Diceros bicornis minor: one gene and its partner. The protein of the gene in region 2 purifies or fractionates together with the protein of the main gene of each other region. This does not show direct contact. Links are inferred from orthologs where the notes say so. Each region holds a gene or a part of one and is shown on either strand. Other genes may lie near its edges.

What was found.
Region 1: the proteins of FIP1L1 (region 2) and CSTF2T purify together in Homo sapiens (co-immunoprecipitation; 3 studies listed by BioGRID and IntAct, with this or other methods). This does not show direct contact. The link is inferred for Diceros bicornis minor from reciprocal best matches to the Homo sapiens genes FIP1L1 and CSTF2T.

The regions. Positions count from the first base shown.
Region 1 is NC_080745.1:52,119,883-52,131,070, reverse strand, and holds CSTF2T (cleavage stimulation factor subunit 2 tau variant), read right to left. Parts: upstream 4,673-11,188; 5' UTR 4,417-4,672; coding exon 2,551-4,416; 3' UTR 708-2,550; downstream 1-707. UniProt on the Homo sapiens protein: May play a significant role in AAUAAA-independent mRNA polyadenylation in germ cells. Directly involved in the binding to pre-mRNAs.
Region 2 is NC_080747.1:41,485,671-41,496,476, reverse strand, and holds the start of FIP1L1 (pre-mRNA 3'-end-processing factor FIP1), read right to left. Parts: upstream 4,123-10,806; 5' UTR 3,911-4,122; coding exon 3,826-3,910; intron 2,627-3,825; coding exon 2,582-2,626; intron 2,479-2,581; coding exon 2,439-2,478; intron 1-2,438.

The DNA of each region.
Region 1 (11,188 bases), on a different chromosome or scaffold from region 2:
AATGAAATAAGGCTCTATATTCTACATCAACAGCTGGGACAGTCAGACAGTAAATTGGAAGTGAGGAGAGAGAACCTATTTTATTAAGTTTACCAGAGTAAAGGAGATTGCTTCTATTATTTATTTCTAATTTATTTTCTAATGCAAATATTTGGTATAACTCATTTGTTCTGTGTGGAATCTAAATCCTTTGGGGAGAAACTTATGAGCTTTTAGTGGAATTTTTTTTTCTCCTTAAGACTCTGATAGAATGTTTTGTCCTGTGATTTCTGCTATAGGGAATACAGAAGTGAGTAAGACAGTCCATGTTCAGAGTTCTTGATCTATTAAAAGTGGGAGTGGGGGGTAGCACGTAAAATAGTGCATTGCAATATAACAAACTCTGTTGGTAATAAAGATACCTGTAAGTAGGTGTTCCTGGGATACAGAGAAGAGTTCTCTGTGGGGAACATAAAGAAAAGAAGCCTAAGTATCCACCAAGATGTTGCTACTGATACCAACCATAGAATAACACATCTTTATAGTTATTTCAGTTGTGGAATTATACATATAATGAATCTAAGAAAGGGATTTCCATCCATACCTGCAATTTCTTTAGTTTTGCTTTTTTCATTTAAAAGAAAAAAGTATTCAGGCCCCATGGGGCTCTCAAGAATAGATAACTTTTGAATAATGCATTCATTAAAAATAAACATCAGATATTAAAGTCAGCCTTAATTGTACATTTTATTTAGTCTGCATTAAACAATGCACGGATCTTACTACAACCAAGAGCATAACATTTAATAGTTTTCAGTTAAAGCCCTTCAGTGAAAGCTTTGGGATAAAACAACTATAATTTCAAAGGAATCAAGCCAACTCGGTGAATTACTATTGCCTGGAACTATCACACATAAAGGAGAGTCATCCCCTCCAATACAGGGGAAGCATACAGAAAACAGGAGAAAGTTAACAGTATCAACAACAGTAAAAAGAGGAGTAAAACAGGTAGCAGGAAACAACAGCATAGGGATAAAAACTTTGTAAAAAATGAATTACCCATTTAAGATGTAAAAACTTTGCAAGGGGAAAATAATTCAATTTCCAAGTCTCAGCTCTCTCATTAAATGATATTTTTTCCTCTTAACTAGATATTGGTTTTTCTTCTCCAGAGTAAGATCATCTGGTTATTTGTGTGTTTATGGTTCTGTTAATTACTAGTTGGTCTATGACACAAATTTTTGTGTCTATATCCTCAAGGCTTAAAAATAAATTAGGTAGTAGCTCTAAAGAAAATGTGATAGCCCGACCTTCCTACTGATTTTTAAATGTCTCATGGGTATATATATTAGGACTCAATAACTTTATTACTTGTAAAAAGTAAAGTGAGTAATAACCAACTGAGCAGGGAATTAAGGCTACAAGAATATCTCTACCTACCTGGGCCTCAATTATTCTGATAAGATGGTGATAGATAGGTAGATTTTGAAATAAGAAAACTAAAAGGCATGTTAAATGTTGCTCAGATTAAGATTTTTAACTCCTGATTCTGGTTGACCAGATGGATACCATCTGTATATGGAAGCTAGTAACCAGCAAACTGAGAGCTCTAATGCATGAAGCCTTCCACTATTTATGAAAAGCCCAATGCTGTGTATAACTCATCCAGATCAACTGGTCCCTAGATGCTGATGTTTGGGAAGGGTGTGAGAGAATTACTCAGATTCACATTTAGGGCTTAAAGACTACTGAGAAATGGGAAGATAGTGCGAGAGATATTGACTCTCATCAGAGAAGACTTAAGTAACCCGGTTGATCCTAGAACTGTCCCAGCAAAATCATCCTGCTCAGGGCAAGGCCTGAATATTGCTGGTCCCTGAAGGGTGAGATAAATAAAACATCACATCACACCAGATGCATTCCTTGATTTTTCAGGTAGCACAGCTTTAGAAAAAAAAAATTCCAATACCACAAGCTAGACTTATCCTGTTAGCTCTAATGTTTCAAAAGAATTCCAAAACACTAAAACGATGCTTCAACTAATACGTTCTATCACCCCCAAAACAGGATTTTGTATTTTAAATGGCTTACCAAAAAATATATCTTAAAATTTTGTGGTCAATTTCTTTATTTTCTTATACAAACAAAAACCTTAAACTATCTTATTAGTACATTACCATTTTAATAGGTCATCTCTTAGTCTTTATGTGCAGTTTTCACATCATTTTACTCAGTATTTTTAAAAATGTAGTTAACATATTGTAGACATTTTTAATATTGCTGAATATTCTTTGTAATCCTATTTGGTATAATATAATCATGTTCAGAGTTATTTTTGTACATTTACAATGAATTGAACAGACCCACCCCTTCCTCCCCCTACCCCCCCAATTAAAAATAAAAAGGAAAACAGAAAAAAAGAAAAAGACAACAAGAAGAAATAAGATTAGGTTCTGGGAGGAGAGAAACTCTAATCATTCAAGTGTGGGGATGCAGAAGTCAGCTTTCTGCACCCATTCTCCATTACAAAAAAACTTTCTGGGACTACTGCTAAATATTTTCTAAAACTTTTCAAGAAGCTCCCGTAGATTTCTGGATCTGTTCCTTTAAAATCAGGATGCTCTGCCTTTGCTCAGGAGGCAGCATGGCAATCTGATCTGCAGTCAGTTGAAGAACCTGCATGATCAAAGCTGCCTTTTCCTGATCCTGGGGAGTTACTTGGCTCTGCCCAGGACTAAAACTGCTAGGCTGGCCTCCACCTTGCTTGCCTGCCCCCTGCATGCCTGTTCCTTGTACGCCCGCCCCCTGCATGCCTACTCCTTGTATGCCTGCTCCCTGCATGCCTGTTCCTTGTATGCCCGCTCCCTGCATGCCTGTCCCTTGTATGCCCGCTCCCTGCATGCCTGCTCCTTGTATGCCTGCCCCCTGCATGCCAGCTCCAGGATTTCCCACCCCTGAAATGCTTGGGACCTGTCTGGGTCCCTGAGGACCACCTGCCCCCATATTAATGGGTCCAGGACCCTGGATTCCACCAGTCATAGGGCCTCTCGAACTAGGACCAGGGCCCCTTATCTCCATTCCTCTTGCATCCATGCCTCTTGCTTCCATTCCTCTGGTTTCCATTGCACAGGTCTCCATTCCTCTTCTCTCCATTACTCGTGTCTCCAAGACCTCAGTTTCCATGGCTCGAGTCTCCATCCCTCGAGAATCTCTACTACCTCTGCCATCCATAGGTAGGCCCCTTTGATCTATCATAGGTCCTCTGGGCTCTCCAATTAGCAGTCTGGGATCTGCTAATGGCCCTCCCCTCATCTCATGTGAAGAAGGGCCACGGTTGTCATGACCAGAGGCATGGTGCATAGGGGGACCCTGATGAGGTGGACCAAGATAGCCTCTGGGCTCTACTTCTCCAGTGACTGAAAGCAAAGTCCCTCCACGTGGGTCATTGGGAGCATCTCCTAACAGTCCTCGAGGAGGCAGGCCACCAGCAGTCATGGGTCCACGAGGCATAGGCGCTCTAGGATCCGACATCTGCACCTGTCCTCGCTCTAAAGGCACCGGACCAACCCCTGGCATTCCAACTTGGGGCTGCATTGCTCCACCAGGAGTTAAGGAACCGGGACCAGGTCCAGGAACCCCGGCTGGTATTGGCCCCGGGGCTGGAATTCCACCCTGGATCGGGGTCTGCATCAGAGGAGGGATGTCTTTCACAGGTCTTCTAGCCAGATGCTGAGGCTGAGGGGCTGGAGGATTCTGCTGGTTGAGCAGAACATTAGGGCCTGGGCATAGCCCAGGACCCGGGCCAGGGCCGGAGACAGACTGAGATTTGCCTGGGATGAGTGGTGTGACATGTATCTTGCGATGCAGAATTTTCAGAGCAATCTCTGGATCCATGATTCTCATCACTACTTGTGCCTGCAACAGTGCATAAGCCAGCTGTGGGTTTTGAAGTAACATGTTTCGAGCTTCCTGGTGGCTGTTTTGGACACAGAGCTTCATCTGCTTCATCAGCTCAAACATCTGCTCCGGGGGGAGACTAGCAACTGCTCTGGTAATTGATTCTGGGGCATCTTCTGGATCGATGGGATCCCCATAGGGTGAGTCAATGATGGGCGCTGCAGGCCCTAGGCTCTTTAACTCCTCCTTGTTCTTCTCACTGGCAGCATTGTCCACCCGAAGCGCTCTCCCGCTGAACTCCCGCCCGTTCAGGTTCCGCATGGCACTAAGCGCGGTTTCCTGGTCTTGATACTCGCAGAAGCCATAACCCTTGGGTTTTCCGGTCTCTCTATCGTACACCAGCCGGAAACTGACAACAGAACCAACCTCTGAGAAAATGTCCTTTAACTGCTCCTCAGTTGCCTCATACGGAATGTTCCCCACGAACACGGAACGCAGTGATCGATCCATTGCTGGGTCTCTCACCGCCAAGCTCGACATGATTCCGGTTGTGCAGACACGGCGGAGAACGGATTCTTCCCAGAGTCGTCCTCTTGCGACCCACACTTCCGCTGAGCAACGGAAGCAGCTTTTAAACTCCGGGCAGAAACCTCAGTAGTCGGCTTGAGTCGTTCCGCGAAATCTGCGCCTCTTTGTTCCACTAACTTAATTAGCTAATGCTTTTTGCCCTTGATCGTTTGTGGTTCTGTCAGCTCCTTCTTACCCAGACGCAGGATTCCTTTCTCGTCTCTTAATCCGCAGACTTTCCATGGCGCGCCACCACCCCCGCCAGGAAAAGCCCGGTGCGCCTTGACCCCAGTAAAGATGGCCGCATAGACTTCACCATGGTAACCAGCAGAGGCGGCCTCCTTTGACGTCAAGGGCGGCTTTGTTTCGGTTTGCCGGCGGGAAACCGCCAACCGAAAGCTAAGGCGGTGTGTTCTTCGTTCTGCTGGAAGGGTTTTCGTATAGCAGTGTCTCCTTATATTTAAGCTATATTTAAAATCACATTCTAGACCAAGAGGGGAAAGTGTAGTCGTTTCAAAACAGATTTGGGATTTGCTCCTGAAAATACAAAAGTAATCGCTCCGTTTTAGAAAAACATTTTTGGAAAATACCTGCCCCGAAATACACGCCGCGCAAATGAGCCTGCTCCATCCATCCCCCCCCCCCCCATCTGGTTGCTTCGGATAACCGCTGTTTGATAGGCGACGGGACCGGCCGGGTTTTCCTCTGTGCATCCAGGCAGCAGTCGAGCTATTCATAGTATTACCCTTTTTTCCCTTAATTATATTAAGTGGTTAATAATAAATAGCATTTAAAGACTGCAGAGCGTGAATTAAATGAATTTATTCTTATACTGGAGGCATTTAGATTGGTTCTGATTATTATAAACTGAGGCAATGATCTCACACCTCTACTATGAAGGGAAAAACAAACTGTAGTTGTTTCTAGTCTGTTAGTTTTGCCGGCAGAAGTTGAAACATATGTGGAGCCTAGGTTTTTTCCTCCGTTTAACAGACGATAGAACTGAAACTTGGGGAGACCTAGGTAATTTGCTAAGCAGCCAGTAAACGGCAAAGCCAGAATTCTTATGCCGGTTGGTCTGTTGTAGCTCCAGAGCTGCGCTGCTGCATGTGGCAGCCGCCAGCCACTTGTAGCTATTGGGTACTTGAAATGTGGCTAGTGTGATTAAGAAATTGAACTTTTAATTTTATTTAATTTTTATTAATTTAAATATAAAAACTGATTCAGTTAGGCTAATGGAAAACTTTTTAGGATGTTTGGGTATGGAATCTACTTTTGCAATGATAAATTTTATTAAATCAAAATAAAAATCAAGTATTTACAGTTAAAATTTAGCATTCTGATTGGGATGTGCTATACGTGTAAAATACATGCAAGATTTTGAAGACTTAGGTATAAAAAAAGTTAAAATATGTCTAATTTTGTATTGTTTACATGTTGAAATGATATTTTTAATATATTGGATTAAACAAAATATATTTTAACATTAATATCACTCATTTCACTTTACTTTTTTTAATGTAGTTACTTAGAAAAATTAAAATTATATATATGTATTGCATTATATGTTTATGAACTGCACTGTTCTAGAGTCTGTCTTACCTCTTAATTCTACATATGCCCTTTGAGGAGCTTATGAAACTTTGTTTCATCAAAAAATTGTGTTATGTTCTTGGGTGTCATAGTCCAATGAATAGATCTGAAATGATGGGTTTAGCTACAATTTAGACAAAACATCCATTTACCTTCAAGTGTTTTAATAATTCTTTAAAACAGGCTTGGACATAGCTATTTACTCAAGGTGCATGATAATTTATATCTGCAAGTAATAAAGTGTATTTATATGACCTAATAAAATCTTCCTGGTACGTGAAAGAAACAGAATAGCCACTTGCTAGTAATGGTTTTTCCCTCCTGATTCTTTTATTGGAGGTGGGGCAGGGGTGGAGAGAAGTTGAGGATGGTATTATTTTGGAAAACTAAAAACAAGTCCATTTGTCTAAAAACAAGTCCGTTTGTCTCCTTTCCGTACTATCCCTTTGCAGAGAGAAGCCATGACTTTTCTACACACAATCTGTCAAGGACAACTTAGACATCGGTCATGTGTGTAATTGTGTGTGTATTAAGTGTAGTAATCTTAAGGATAATAAGAGGCTATTAGAATAAGTTGTAAAGTTCATGATAGGTTGCACAGCTTATTTGACAGAGTTTCTTTGCTGGTGCTGATAGTATCTAAACAAGTGGTCCTCACACTTCAGCATGTATCAGAACCACCTGGAGCCTGGTTTGTTAAGTCAGATTGCTGGGCCTCACCACTGCCCCGCCTCAGTTCTGATTCAGTGTTTCTAGGGTGGGACTGGAGAATTTGCATTTCTAACGAGTTCTCAGGTGATGCTGATGCTGCTGGTTTGGGGACCCCCACTTTAAGAATCATTGATCTAAACGAAAGGACTTGAAGTAGTTTTGTTTTGTTTTGTTTTCGGTTTATGTCAGGCCAACGTAAATTTAGTACACTGTTAAAAGGTATGAGATATGAGTGGTCTTTAAAAAATCTATTAATATTTTAATGCTGATCCAGTATAGCTAGTACATGCTGATCCCACACTGAAGATACTCTGGGCACAAAGGATGCGTGAACAGAGTAGCTGAGGAACTCTGGGGATGAACAAGAAGGGAGAAGGCATCACTGTAAGAGTGTGATTTTTGTCACAGGCCTTCCATGTTCTGTTTAGTCCCCCTATTCAAAACCAGAAGAATGGTTTAATATGGCCCTTCAGAGAGGACCATTGTGACCCAGCACATAGCTCAATGCCCAGGATGCATAAGCTAATATTTATTAGTAACTGAGTGGCCCAGAATTACCAAGAGCTGTTAGGAACCTGTGCACGTTTCCTGGTACCAATACATACTTTTCATAGATCTACCTTGGAAGAACTTTCATTTTATACTGCTTTCTTTGTTCCCAGGATGTTTAAACTTTAGATTTTTATAGCATGGCATATACTTTGAAGAAAAATGTACATGGCATCTTGCATGTTCAAACATTGATTCTTTCAATAAATCAAAATATCAACTGTACTAAGAATGATTTTTAAACAAACACATCAGAGCATATGGCCAAGTGGGAGCTGTTCTTCAAACTAACCACCTTCAGAAAGTATAAACATAATCCATAAGGCTTCCATTGTTCAAGTGAACTCCTACCCTGAAATTGTTTTAGGGCTCCATTTGAAAGTCATACTAGAAAACTGCTGCCTTAACTCAAAGGTATACCTTGTTTTCAACCAAGAGTTATGCAACTAAATCACCTAACTTTCTGACCAGACTTGGCAAAAATATGATATTTAGCTATTTCCAAACATCAAAACTTATATCAGAATACAAAGATTCTGTAGACTTGCAGGTATTAAAAAAGATTCACCATAGATTAATTAGACAAATTCCAAAACGAGGTACTAAAAATATTTTTAGTTATGACAGGCATTTTTGAAATAAGTGTATGGGTCCTTCAAAGAATAGATCAAATACACTCCCCGATGAAGTTCTCTCTAATCTTACTCCTTCTTCCTCTAGGTTGAAAGTGAGTTCATTTTCCTTTGGATATAAACCATTCCTTATCCATACCTTTCTGATGATAGTAACTCTTCTACTTTTTAGTAGAATTATGATTTTTCCTTCTAAACTATGACATCATTCAAGGAAAGAGCTAGATTTCCCTTTGTCAATTAACAAAGTGACATATTTATTCTCTTCCATAAATATTTATTGTAAGCACTGGCAATACTGCAGTGAAAAAGATAAACATTCCACTAGAACATAGATTCTGTAAGTGTTCAGTAACATGAACATCACCTAGAAACATCTTAGAGATGCAAAAGTTCCGGCACCACTCCAAACCTACTGCATCAGAAACTCTTGGTGTGCGTGTATGTGTGTGTACAGAAATCTGTGGGTTTTTTTTTTTGTGTGTGTGTGTGTGTGTGTGTGTGTGAGGAAGCTTAGCCCTGAGCTAACATCTGTTGCCAATCCTCCTCTTTTTGCTGAAGAAGATTGGTGCCGGCTAATATCTGTGCCCATCTTCTTCTACTTTATATGTGGGACTCCTGCCAAGCATAGTTTGATAAGTGGTGTGTAGGTCCACACTTGGGATCTGAACCTGTGAACCTTGGGCTGCCAAAGCAAAGTATGGGAACTTAACCACTAGTCCACCGGGCCGGTCCCCAGAAATCTGTGGTTCAACAAGCTCCCCAGGTGATTCTAATGCAGGCTAAAGTTTGAGAACCACTGAACTAAAGGGAGACAATTATAGATAGGTAGGTAGGTAGATAGATAGATACATAGATACATTGTCTTCTTCTCCACTGTATCCTCAGCACCTAGGATAGAGCTTAGCACAGGTGGGTGCTCATTGTATGTTGAATGAATGATGGGAGGTGACCTTCGAGTTAGCTAAGTCACAAATTCTTCATTTTACGCAAGAGGAAACCTGTAGCATTAAAAGCATGCCCAAAATCAGAATAGGGGCCTGCTGTCAAGACCCTTGTCATTTTATTCCTAGGTCAGTGATAGTTCTTTCATGTTACTGTTTGATAAAGTAGATATGTAATGAAGTATGTAGAGATTGAAGAGAGTGATAAGGTCTAGATCATCAAGGAAGGCTTCCTAATGGAGCTGGGATTTAAGGGATGGGTTATAATCTGGTATGTATAAACAAAAGATGAAGAGACTAAGCCAGGAGCTAGGAATAGCCAAGACATGAAATTGAAACCTAGTGTTTTTGATGCCCCCAGAGGAAACCAATAGAGAGTTCGTGAGTAGTGTGATAAAAGATTGTCTTTTGGGACAGATTACAAAAGGTTTTGAAGATCAGATTCATGAATCTAAACTTGATGTGAGAGTCAGTAGGCTTTCTTCCATCTTTCTGAATCATGAACATAGAATAAAAATGGCAGAGGTTTAAGAATACCAATTTTATCCAGTCCTTCTCCATGATATCTTTTGCACTTGGACTATCCTTTTTACATCATTATAATTTTTTAATCTAATGTAGCAGTGGCTCTTCCTGTATTTAACATCTTCTATAACATGGCTTCATTCTCATTACTCACTTGCCGCCTTCATATATTCTCCTCTGGCTAAATTGTACCCCTCATTTTTCACCACACATGATCTGTGCTTTTCCACCTTCTAGCTTTTGCTCCTAGCTTTTGATCTACTATTCCTTCTTTGAGGATGTCTTCTTTTCCGTCTTTCTCTCCTCATCTCTCCATGTCTAAATCCTTCTTGTCCTTCAGTTCTCACCCTAAAGACTTTCTTTTTAAAGTAGAGTATTGATTTGGCACCCATTATTTTCTATATTGTAATAGAGGTGCTAGTATTCTTGTGTTACCACTTAAGCACAGACCCATATCTGATTTATTTTGTTCATATTGCTTAGCCCAGTGCCTTTTATATTCCAAGCACTCAGTAAATATTTTTAAAATTAATACAAAATCATCTTGTAATAACAGATTACATGTTAACAAAATGATAATTTAATGCTTTCAGCTTACAGAACACTTTTCTTTGGGCTCCCACATCTGATCTTGACAACAATCATGTGAGGTATATACAGTTGTATTCTGATTTTAAAGATGTTTTAACAGAGAACTGTTACCTAGAACTTTAACAATGGACTCACTCAAAATACAGATACTATTCATAAAAGCTAACTCTGATCACTTAATAGGAAGGAGTTCCTCTGATAAGTGCTTTATAAAATACAATATTTTATTTAATCCTTTCAACAACCCTTCTGAGATAGGCAGTCATAGTGTCTGAATTTATAACTAAAGAAACAGAGGCACAGAGAGGTTAACAGAGTGCCCATCATAACTGGCAGAGCCAGGTTTTGAACATACATCATTTGACTCAAGAACTCAAGCTCTTGAATTATTATTCCATTAAATGAGTTTATCAAGGAGACATAGCTAGTCAGTGGCAGAGCTACAGCCTGAAATTAGTTCTCTTGATTTTAAACCTCCTACTTCATAATTAGTGTGGTATTGAGGCCTGAACACAATCTCCCTTGGCCTTTTTACTGATTGTCTCTGAGTGTAACTAATTGCAATTTTGACATCACAATCAGTGCTGTGGCAACAGATGGACTATAAGGTCTAAAGACTAAAGCGAGGGAGAAAATGTTTCCTTTTGCAATTTGCATGGCTGTAGTTAAACATCACTTAAGGATTTTTAAAAATATCTAGTTAAATGGATACAAATACGTTTTCCATAAAATGAAAGAGCCCAGATTTCTCAAACCCCAAATTAGGTTGGTCTGTGACATTTTCTCCCAATTTTTAAATATATTTATTATGAAACAATGTACAGAGGAAGAAATAGTAAATTTCATTACTTATACATGAGATGAATCACTTTTATTGGCAAGAGGAAGATTACATGAATTTGGGACTGCTGGGAATATGCCATTCCAGGGCTGGAGGTTGGACAGAACCAAATGTTCTCCTTGGAAGCGATTGTGTTGTACAACCTCGTTTTTTTAATATATGAAGAAAATAAAGTCTAGGGAAGACAAGGGACTCAATCAGGGTCAGATGCCTAGTTATTGGCCTAGCTTGTAATGGGATCTAGATCTTCAGACTTCCTCATCCAAACTATGCTCTCAGCACTTCTTAGGGGTAGTAGAGTGAAGAAGTTAAGAATATAGACTTTGAAGTCAGAGAGACTTGGGTTGGCTGCCTAGTTC
Region 2 (10,806 bases):
TGAGGCCGCGTCCCACATACAGCAACTAGAAGGATGTGCAGCTATGACAGACAACTATCTACTGGGGCTTTGGGGGAAAAATAAATAAATAAAATCTTAAAAAAAAAAAGAACATAGGTTTGGTGGAGCTCTCTTCCTCTCTTCCCCAATAGATTTTTAAAGTTTTAATTCTCTATCACCATTAAAATGCCAGAAACATGATAAAATTATATGCTTCTTCTAAAAAAATAAAATTTTAAGGGCAGATCTTTTCCATAGGATGAAATAAACTTAAGAGCTCTCCAAATAAAGTTTTAATAAGGAATATAAAGACTTTTTGACAGTGATGCTCAGGGAAAATAGAAGGCTTCTCTCCAATAAATTTAATCAAGCTGTGTACTGAGGAATTAAAATTAAAGAATGTTCAATCAGAAAATAAGTTTCGAGAATTGCAGCTAAGAATACAAACAAAAATTAATGGAATAAAGATTAGCTCATAAACAATGTGTATTTGATTGTGAATCTGTACCCTGTTATCAATTAATTTCTTGACCAATTGAAAAATGCAGTATGAAGAAATATTTAATTACTTTCATAACTATAAACCACACAAATGCCAACTTTGGGATTAAGTGAGATTAGGGTTAGGAACTAGGTTGGATACATAAATTTCAAAACTAAATGATAAAATATCAGATCATACAGCAATGAGTGGAAAAAATAGTCTTCCAATACAGGAGATATTTTTAAGTGAGGAAGAATACTCTAATTTCAGTACCCCCTAAGCTATTTCCATGTCCACTTCTCACTTCTTCCCTCCATTCACTTTTTTTAAAAATAAATTTTGAGGGCCGGCCCCGTGGCTTAGCGGTTAGGTGCGCGCGCTCCGCTGCTGGCGGCCCGGGTTCGGATCCGAGGCGCGCACCGACGCACCACTTCTCCGGCCATGCTGAGGCCGCGTCCCACATATAGCAACTAGAAGGATGTGCAGCTATGACATACAACAATCTACTGGGGCTTTGGGGGGAAAAAATAAATAAATAAATAAATCTTTAAAAATAAATAAATAAATTTTGAGATCTAATTGATATACCACACAATCCACCCATTTGAAGTGTATAACTGAACGATTTTTTGTATGTTTACAGAATAGTGCAACCATCGCAACTATGTGATTTCAGAACATTTTCCTCACCCCAAAAAGAAACTTTGTATATATTAGTAGTCACTCCCCATTTTCCCCTGTCCCCTGTCTTGGCAACTACTATTTTCTGTCTCTATGGATTTATCTATTCCATACATTTAATAAAAATAGAATCATACAATATGTAGGCTTTTGTGATTGGCTTCTTACACTTAGCATAATGTTTTCAAGGTTCATCCATTTTGTAACACATAGCAGTACTTCATTTTTTTTTTTACTACCAAATAGTACTCCAGTATGGATATACCACATTTTATCTCTCCATTCATTATTTGATGGACACTTGGGCTATTTCCATTTTCTGGCTATTATGAATAATGCTGCTAAGAACATTCATGTACAAGTTATTGTGTGGACATATGTTTTCATTTCTCTAAGGTAGACATCTAGGAGCAGAATTCCTGGGTCATATGCTAACTCTATGTTTAACATTTTGAGGAACTGCCAGACTGTTTTTCAAAGTAGCTGCACCATTTTACAATCCCACCATCAGTGTATGAGGGTTCTAATCTCTCCATATCCTTACCAACATCCGATACTATCAGTTTTTTTGATTATGGCCATCCTAGAGGGTGTGAAGTGGTATTTCCTCCACTTTTTAAATGCAAATATTCTTTAAAAGCTTTTTTTAACCACTCCTCCCCCCTTATAGGACACCAAGGCATCTGGTGAGAGTAAAGTCAGCATATCCATGTACTTGTATGCGTGAGCTGTTTTGAAATTTAGAATAAGTTTCTGGCTCCCTGTATATGTTCTGTAAACAATACTCATACCTTTCCAGTAATCTAACAAGGAGAATCAATCTCATAACAAATTCATTAATTCCACTTTGAATTTAAATAAATACAAAACACTGAAATTATAACCAAAGTGCCTTACACCCTCAAAAATATTAATTGTAAAAGCAGTAATTTAAAGGATTCTTTATTATCTAAAAAAATTTTTTAAGCTAAAATTTTTTTCTTAGTAGTCTAATGGTTACTGTATACTCCACTATTGAGCTCACTTAAGTATAAAAAGTTACTTAACAGTGAAAATTATCCAAATCCTTACTTCAAAAACTTTTGTCCCCTAAGCTACTAGCAAATAAACAGAATTAATATAAGATTAGGTCCTGAAACAAAAATAAACTCTGAATGATTCAATGTCTTTCAACCTTCAGTCAAAATGTTGTAATCAAGTCAATGATTATAAGGAGATAATTCTGACAATTTGTTAATTGAACCACTGTATCACACCAAGAAATTTCACTAACCTGGCATTTTCTTCTTCTGGCCTTTCAACTTCATTTTCATCTACCAAAAAGAATACATAAATAAATAAATAAAATTAACAAACAAACCACTCTCAAAGAAACCAGTATTATGAAAATCTGAAGTGATCATCACAAGCACTAACCTAGGTCCTTTGCCAAATCACTGTGCACATGCACGTCCCATGGGCCTATAAGCACATCCAAAGTTAGATCACCTTATAATGATGTAACAAGATATGTCTTTTATGAAAAAAAAAAATCAGACTTTACTTCTACAAAAATAAGCTTAATTTAAGAGGTATTAAAGATTTCTAGATCTTTGTAAAAGATACCCTACACATTTACATTTCAGAGAGTATTACTAATGCTAAACCTTGCCGTCAAAGATAATGAACTTATTTTACAAGTTTATCAAAATAGAAGTTTGTCCAAGCCACATCATGAAAGAGCTGCATGGTGCCCAAACGCGCACTTTTACTTTACTATTTTAAAGACATCAAAAATATACATTTTAGGTAAGGAACCAGTATTAACTTTTAAATCTAGTATCAGTAACAGAAAAGAAAGGACTGTGACTTAATGAAAGTTAAAACCAGATGTCAAACAAGTCCCTTTCAAAAGGGAAGTACAAAATGCTCTACATTTGAGGGGGAAAAAATGCACAAGACGATACTGAAAACCATTAGCCTAAGGGACATGAGGTACTTCTATCATGTGGGTTAAAGACCAGTCTCTTAAAAAAGAAAAACTTCACCTTAATACAGGAGACATTCGGGGTTTTCTTTATGGGCCATAATGTATTCCATCTCTTTCTTTCTCTCTCTCTTTCTCTTTTTTAATTAGTTATTTTTAAAGAACGACTTTCAGACAAGGAGGTACCCTTGCAGGTGCATTCCACACACACTGACCATCAAGAAACAAGACGTTAGTTTTACAGCATCAACTTTATTTAGCTATTATTACAGAATGATTGTTGCTGAAAGAAAGGGACAGGAGAGGCATCCTAGAGCCAAGGGGTAAGAGACACACCAACACAACTCAGAATAGATATCAACAAACAGAGTAAGGAGCGGAGGCGAGGCCGAGACGCCCTCGCGGGGTGGGGGGGAGGGGTGTGTGTGCGAGAGGGCTCGGGCCCTGTCCCGCGACCCCAGCCCGGCCCGGGCCGCCGCGGGGTGGGTGCGCCTTGGGGGTGTCGGCTGGGCGAGGAGGCCGAGGGGGGGCGGGGGGACGCGCACCCCGCGCTCGGCCTAAGTCAGGCCGGATAAGGCTCCGCACTGGAGGCCTCAGGCGGCGGCGTGAGGGACCCCGGACGCCCGCCGCTTGCAGGCCGGGAGAGAAGCCTGAGAGAACCCGGGAGAGAGAGAAGGGACAGGAAGTTCCGTACCGCCATAGAGCCACTCTTCCTCCTCATCCCCTCCGGTCCCGCCGCTCAGCTCCGACACTAGGCGCTCGACCTCGCCGGCCGACATGGCCGCCCCGAGCACAACTTAAAGGCGGCGATCAACAGCCCCTTGCAACCCCTTCCCCGGCCTCGCTGCCCGGGGGCGCGAGGGGGCGCGAACCCGCCGGCGAGCGAACGAAGGAAGCGCGAGACTCAAATCCACGGGGGACGGCCGCGGCGGCGAAGGCTGCAAGGGAGAGGACGCCAGCCCCCATCCGCCTGCGCACGCGCACCAGCATCCAAGCGGCGCGGCGTCTCTAGGTGGTTTCGCTTCCGCGGCGGCGGCCACCTGGGCCTGGTTGCGCGTGCGCACCGTAGTTGGCCCCGCCCCTGTGGAATCCCGCTCTGGCTTTTTAGCGTCGCTTTCTTTCCTGGCGTCCTGCGTCGGCTACGGTTCCCCGCCCCCAACGTTCCTTCTAATAACTCTATTGCCTTTGCCGAGGAGCGCTGCGTTGTTTGCTTCTGCCCTTGGTGCTTTGTCTTCTCAACCTTTCTTTCTGCTTTTTAATCTTCCGAAAGGCCATATTTCATTCTTTACATGTGTATCAGACTTGATACAGAATCGTTATCTATCAGTTCCCTGTTTCTCATTAAATAGAGAAGAAAACATAGTTCATGGCCACTTTCTTCAAAAATTAGTTTTAAACCGCAAACAAAAGCAAAACTAATACGTGAATAATGCATTCTGCTTGTTAAAATACAGCATTACGGGTCAAAGACCACCTCATCCATTACTCTCCTTTCCAGAGGTAGCCATTGTATTTGGTGGGCATCATCCTGAAATTTTCTATACATATACTTCAGGTGCATTGTATTGTTTTGGTAGGAGAACCTGAGGTTAACGATTCTTAAAAGGTACAGTACTGTATGTATCATTCTGTGGATTGCTTTTTATTTTTTTTAATTCAACAGTGTTTTGGAGATCCTTTCCATGTTAGTGTATATCAAACTATGTCCATTTTCAAGTGCTTCATAATATGCCATACCATGGTTCTCATAAAGTGAATGTGGCTATTTCCCTATTGATGTACATTTAGATTGCTTTCAACTTTTTGCTTTAAGATGCACACAAAAACTGCAATGAAGATCCTTGTAAATGACTTCTTGGGGATTTATACAAGTTTTTCTCCAAGATAGATCATAAAGTATGAGCAGTTTTTATTTTACTAGGTAATGTCAAATTTTCAAGCCACTTTTGAGAACACATCTTTCAAGATGACACATGATGGGTCAAAACTGGTGTTCTAGTTGTTAACTATAACTACCTAGTTGCATGACCTCAGGTAATCAACCTCTCTATGCTTCAGTTTTCTCATCTATAAAATGGGAAAGCTGGATTAGATGATCTCTCAAGTCCCTTTCTGTTCTAAAGTTTTCAAACAGGATGCTCACTTTTCAACAAAGTGATCTGTTTTAGTTTTAAAAATCAATCAGTGGGTTTACTTTGCTCTCTAATTAATAAATATTGTTCTTTCAGGGCCGGCCCATGGCTTAGCAGTTAAGTGCGCATGGTCCGCTGCTGGCGGCCCGGTTCCGATTTGGGCGCGCACCGTCGCACTGCTTCTCCGGCGATGCTGAGGCCGCGTCCCACATACAGCAACTAGAAGGATGTGCAGCTATGACATACAACTATCTACTGGGGCTTTGGTGGGGGTGGTGGAAATATTGTTCTTTCATTTATTTATTTAACAATTACTGAATATCTGCTGTTTAAGAACTTGGAAAATAAAGATATGAGTAAAAGAGTCCCTGCCCTTAAAGAGCTCTCAATTTATTGAGAAAGACAGAGGGGTGGTAAACAATTAATTCTTCTACAAGGGAAAAGGTGGCTATGCTACAATAGAAGCACAAATGTGTTTACATCCCACCAATACCACAGCATCTTATGGCATTTAAACAAGTCATGTGGTTTTAATCCCTCTTACCTTTGAACACTCCTCTACCTGCTATTCTCAGTCCCCCTTATCTGTTTAGGATAATCCCTTACCTCCTTCTGAACTCTGTTGAGTTATAATCAACTTTGTATGTGAAATCTTTCCTGAATTCCACTTCATCTCCTCCCATTTCTTTATTTATTCAATAAATATTTATGAATGGTCTACCAAGTGTCAGAAACTCTTCCAGGCTGTGTAGATTTGGTAATGAGTAGGGCAAAGTGCTCGTCTCATGAAGCTTTCATTCTAATGAGGGAGAGAGCCAATAACCATAAATGTACAATACGTCAAGTGATGATAAGGATTATACAGAAGAGTAAGCAGGATAGGAGGACTCAGAGCAGAATGATGAAGAGGGATAGGATGCTATGTTATATCAAGTGGTCAGGGAAAGCCACTCTGATGAGGTGATATAAGAGTAGAGACGTGAATGGAGAGAGAAAATAAGCCCTGTGGATTTCTGGGTGAAGCCTATCAGACAGAGGGAATAGGAAGTGCAAAGGTCCTGAGGCAGAGGCACACTTAAGGCATTCAAGGAACCCAAAATGTAGCCAGAGTAGAATTAGGGAGGAAGAGGATATAGATGATGTCAGAGTTATTAGGGAGTGAGTAGGGAAGAGCTAATTACTCTCTTCTAGACCTTTTGCTGCTTCTATGGCATGTATCTATCACATCATGTAGTAATTATTTGACTACATATGTGTTTTCTTAAGATTCTTCATTAGACCAAGTCCTCCCTCAAGCAGGGCTTTTTTTGTTTTTTTTGTGAGGAAGATCAGCCCTGAGCTAATATCCATGCCAATCCTCCTCTTTTTGCTGAGGAAGACTGGCCCTGAGCTAACATCCGCGTCAATCTTCCTCCACTTTATGTGGGACACCGCCACAGCACGGCCTAAGAAGCGTTGCGTTGGTGCATGCCTAGGATCCGAGCCTGGGCCAATAGCAGTGGAGCACGCGCACTTAAGCGATATGCCATGGGGCCGGCCCGAGCAGGGCATTTTTTTATATGTCACTCTCATTCCTGGCATGGTGCCTAACACTTAGTAGATCTTCTTGGCCTTTACTGACAGTAATGGAATGAAAGTTTTTATATTCTGCTTGGAGTATCATAAGGCAATCACTTATAGTCCTATTCATCTTTCTATTTATCATTCCATGAGTCTATAATGAACTTTGGTGGTTTCATGGGAGAACCAATTGTCTTTTGCTGAGCAGCCTCTTTCTCCTTTCAGATGCCTGAAATGAGCTCGTCTTTCAAGGCGTTACTTAAACTGAACTGAAGAACTGATGAATAATAATTGGTGCATCAGAATCGCCTTCATGATGGAGGTAGCATTTGAGCTAAGCTTTGAAAATGAAGATTTCCACAAGCAGAGAAGCCTATAAATCACTAATAATCACTTTTAAAAGGCCTCTTCCTTCCTTGCTTCCAATCTGAGTTCCTTGCCTGGATAAACTTCCTTAGTTAAAGGTGTCTTTATCTCCCTCCTCACCAGGGGAGACTTCAAAGACAGGTGGTTTGAAGATATTGTGTAAAATTATGACCTTATCAAACTACAATACTTCTTATATTCTGGTTATATTTGTGTTATGTTCAAATACTTTAAAGAATGTTTTTTTGGTGTGTGTGATCTGTTGGTTCTTGGCAAAAAAAAAAAACAACAACAAAGCATCAGTTTTAATATATCTATCTCTGAGAAGTACTGAAAGAGAATGCTTAGTAGATGATGATTAAAATGATAGCAAGAGGTAAAGATCAAATAAAAATGCCTTGCTAGGTATCTAGTAGTTAGCAAGTACTCATAAATGTGTTTTGAATGGATAGGACATTTAGGCTTAACTGTGCTATTTGCTGCCAATTTTAAATATGTCACTTAAATCTCAATGTTCCTCAGTTTCCTCACCAGTGAATTGATATATTAAAATAACACCTTTACACCCACTTCTTGGGAGGATAACAGAGCTAAAATGAAGTTTCAAATGTCAAATCATTTGACAAGTTAGAGGCAAGCATGTGGTGTGTTATGGTTAGACTTTTCGTCCTTTGAACAACCTGAATAATGGCACATGTATAGAGCTTTTCTTCCTCTCTAGATACTTCCATGAGGAATTAAGCCCCAATTATCCATCTTCCTCTGTATTCTGACGTATTTTAACACTAAATTTTATATTACTAGTTATTTCTGGAAAATTATATCATCTCCTATTTGCATCTACACTGTTATGTAGACTGCACACTCTTTAAGGATGAGAACAAAATTTATTTATATCTGTATTCACCAGATCCTCTTTTACAATGTCAAGCACGTGGAAAGTGCATAGTGAATCCTTACGTGTTGATCGTGCATATGGAGGAGTTTGAAATGAAGTGAAGGGAGATATGCTTGATTTTATGAAGAATGGGAAATAACTGCTGGCTGTTTTGAGCAGAGAAATACAAATCACATTTAAATAAGGTAAATCTAATGATCTTAAGCATGTAATTTTAGCAGGAATTCATTTGACTGCCATAATATCTGAGAGCAAGAAATGGAAGGAAGAAAATTCTGACACATAACGTGGATGAACCTTGAGGATATTATGCTAAGTGAAATAAGTCAGTCATAAAAGACAAATATTTTATGATTCCATTTATATGAGATATCGAGAGTAGTCATCTCATAGCAACAGAAAGTAGAATGACGGTTGCCAGGGGCAGGTGGGAGGGGGAAATGGGGAGTTGTTGTTTAATGGACATAGAGTTTCAGTTTTGCAAGATGAAAAAGTTCTGGAGATTGGTTGCACAACATTGTGAAAATAATGCTACTGAACTGTACACTTAAAAGTGGTTAAGATGGTAAATTTATGTTATGTGTATTTTGCCACGATTAGAAAAACAGAAAACAAACAAAAACATGTTCCAACTGAACTCAGTATATTTTTCCCCCAATCGGCTTCTCATCTGGTTTTCTAAATCTCAGTGATTGCCATTTACCAGTCACCCAGGCAGAAAACTGGATGTTACCCTGAAATTCTTCCTCTGCCTCACTCTTTGTCAATCCAGTAACCAGGCTTTTTGGCTCTATCTCCTTAACATTTCCTTAGACACCCTTCACTGTAGATCCCCTTTACTGGTATCCTTATCTACTCTGGCCCAAGTGGTTGCTGTTACTGTTTCTTAACTGCTCTCCCTGCCCTAAATCTTAGTCTGCTCAAATTATTGTCCATGACTTGACTAGAATCGTTTTTTCTCCTAAATTCTAGATGTGAACAAATCTTTTCCACTTCTAAAAATACTTTAATAGTTCCCCATTGGCTGCTACTGTTTAAAATCGAAAATAAGATTCATCCTGATCTACTCCGTTTTTTTTCTAGTTCTTAGCTCCTATTTCTTCTTGGGGCTTTCTTCATACAATACATTCCAGCTATACTAACCTGTAGTTCCAGAGAACATGTATGGTTTCATGCCTCTATGGCTTTGCTCATGCTGCGTTGTCTGCACGGGCTGCCAGGAATGCTCCTCCCCATCCTGTCCACCTGGTGAACACCTGGTTTTCTTTGAACGCAACTCAAAACTCATGTCCTATTTGAAACTACTTTTGACCACTTCCCTTTTTCCTTCACCCAGTCAGAATTTATTTTTCCTCCTTTGTAATTCTTGCACATTAAAAAAAGTCATTGCTTCTGTTACATTTTGTTGCACTTGCTTGCTTTACATGTGGGGGTCCTTTATCTCAGATTCTTTTGAAGGGAAGGCCATAGCTTATTTCTCTTCGTATGCTCAGTGCTCAAAGTGTCTTGAATATTGTACATGTCTGTTAAAAGTTGGTTGACTATATTATTTATTTTATGGACATGAATCGAACATTTATTCAACAAACATTTATTGAACATCTGTTATGTTCTTGTGTTGGGGATACCAGGCCTCTAGTGCACAATCTAGCAGAACAGATTTGTTAAGGAAAACAGGTACCTTAAAACTTACCTCATGATATGGCAAGTCCTTAGCAAAGGTATCAACTGAGTGTTGTGTGCTAGGTGGATGAGGAGGAGGATAGAGTGATTGTAGTGGTGATGGTGAGTTAGGAAAACTCTCACGTGGAAGATATCTTTAGATTGATTATTTTTGGTAGGAGTTTACCAGGTGTAAATTCTTTGTGGATCAGGGAATGTATTTTATTAATCATTATATCTTTGGAGCCTAGCACAGTGATTATACTTAGTAAGTGCTTAATAAATAGTAGTTGAATGAATTGAACCTATGAAACATTCTGGGCTTCATCTGTTGACTTCACTGAGCAGATATATAATGTTCCTGGCTAGAAGTAGCTGGAAAGAAATTGAGAAATCATGAAGGATTTTGGTGCCATTTTTAAGGAGTCTAGCTGTATCCTGTAGGCGATTGGGCCAGGAGAGGCTTTTAAGCAGGAAAGTGGTAGGACCAGCTTAGTATATTAGGAAGAAAACTGAATTGGATGGGGAAGAGATGGAAAGCGGGAAATGATGGGGCATAATTGCAATTGGCTAGGTGAGTGATGATGGTGGATTAAGGCAGTGACAGCAAGGATGGGGAGAAGGGGCTGGCTTCTAGGATTTTTGAACCAGATGAAGATTTAGTGACAATGAGATGAGGGTAGGAAGATGGAGAAAAGGAAATGAGGCCAGTAGGTTTGTTATGAGGCCTGTGTGCAATAACGTATGTGACAGCAGTCTCTAAACTACAAAACATTACAGCTGGTTGTTTCATCTTCTCTGGCTGCTCTGGGTTTAGATGCGGTTAAGTGGCTGTACTTTTAAAGAGATGTATTCATATCCACGTAAAATATCAAACTTCGGATTCTCTGGGGCAGGGAAAGATAATCTGAGCAGAGGGGGAGAGGAAAAGAACGCCGTCCAGCTATTTCCTAGGCAGCTCCTTCTCGTCTCCCCGAACTTTCCAGGAACCCCAGAGCCGCTGAGCCCTGCCCACTTCTCGGTTTCAGTCCTCAGCGTCCCTCCGAGAGCGGGATCT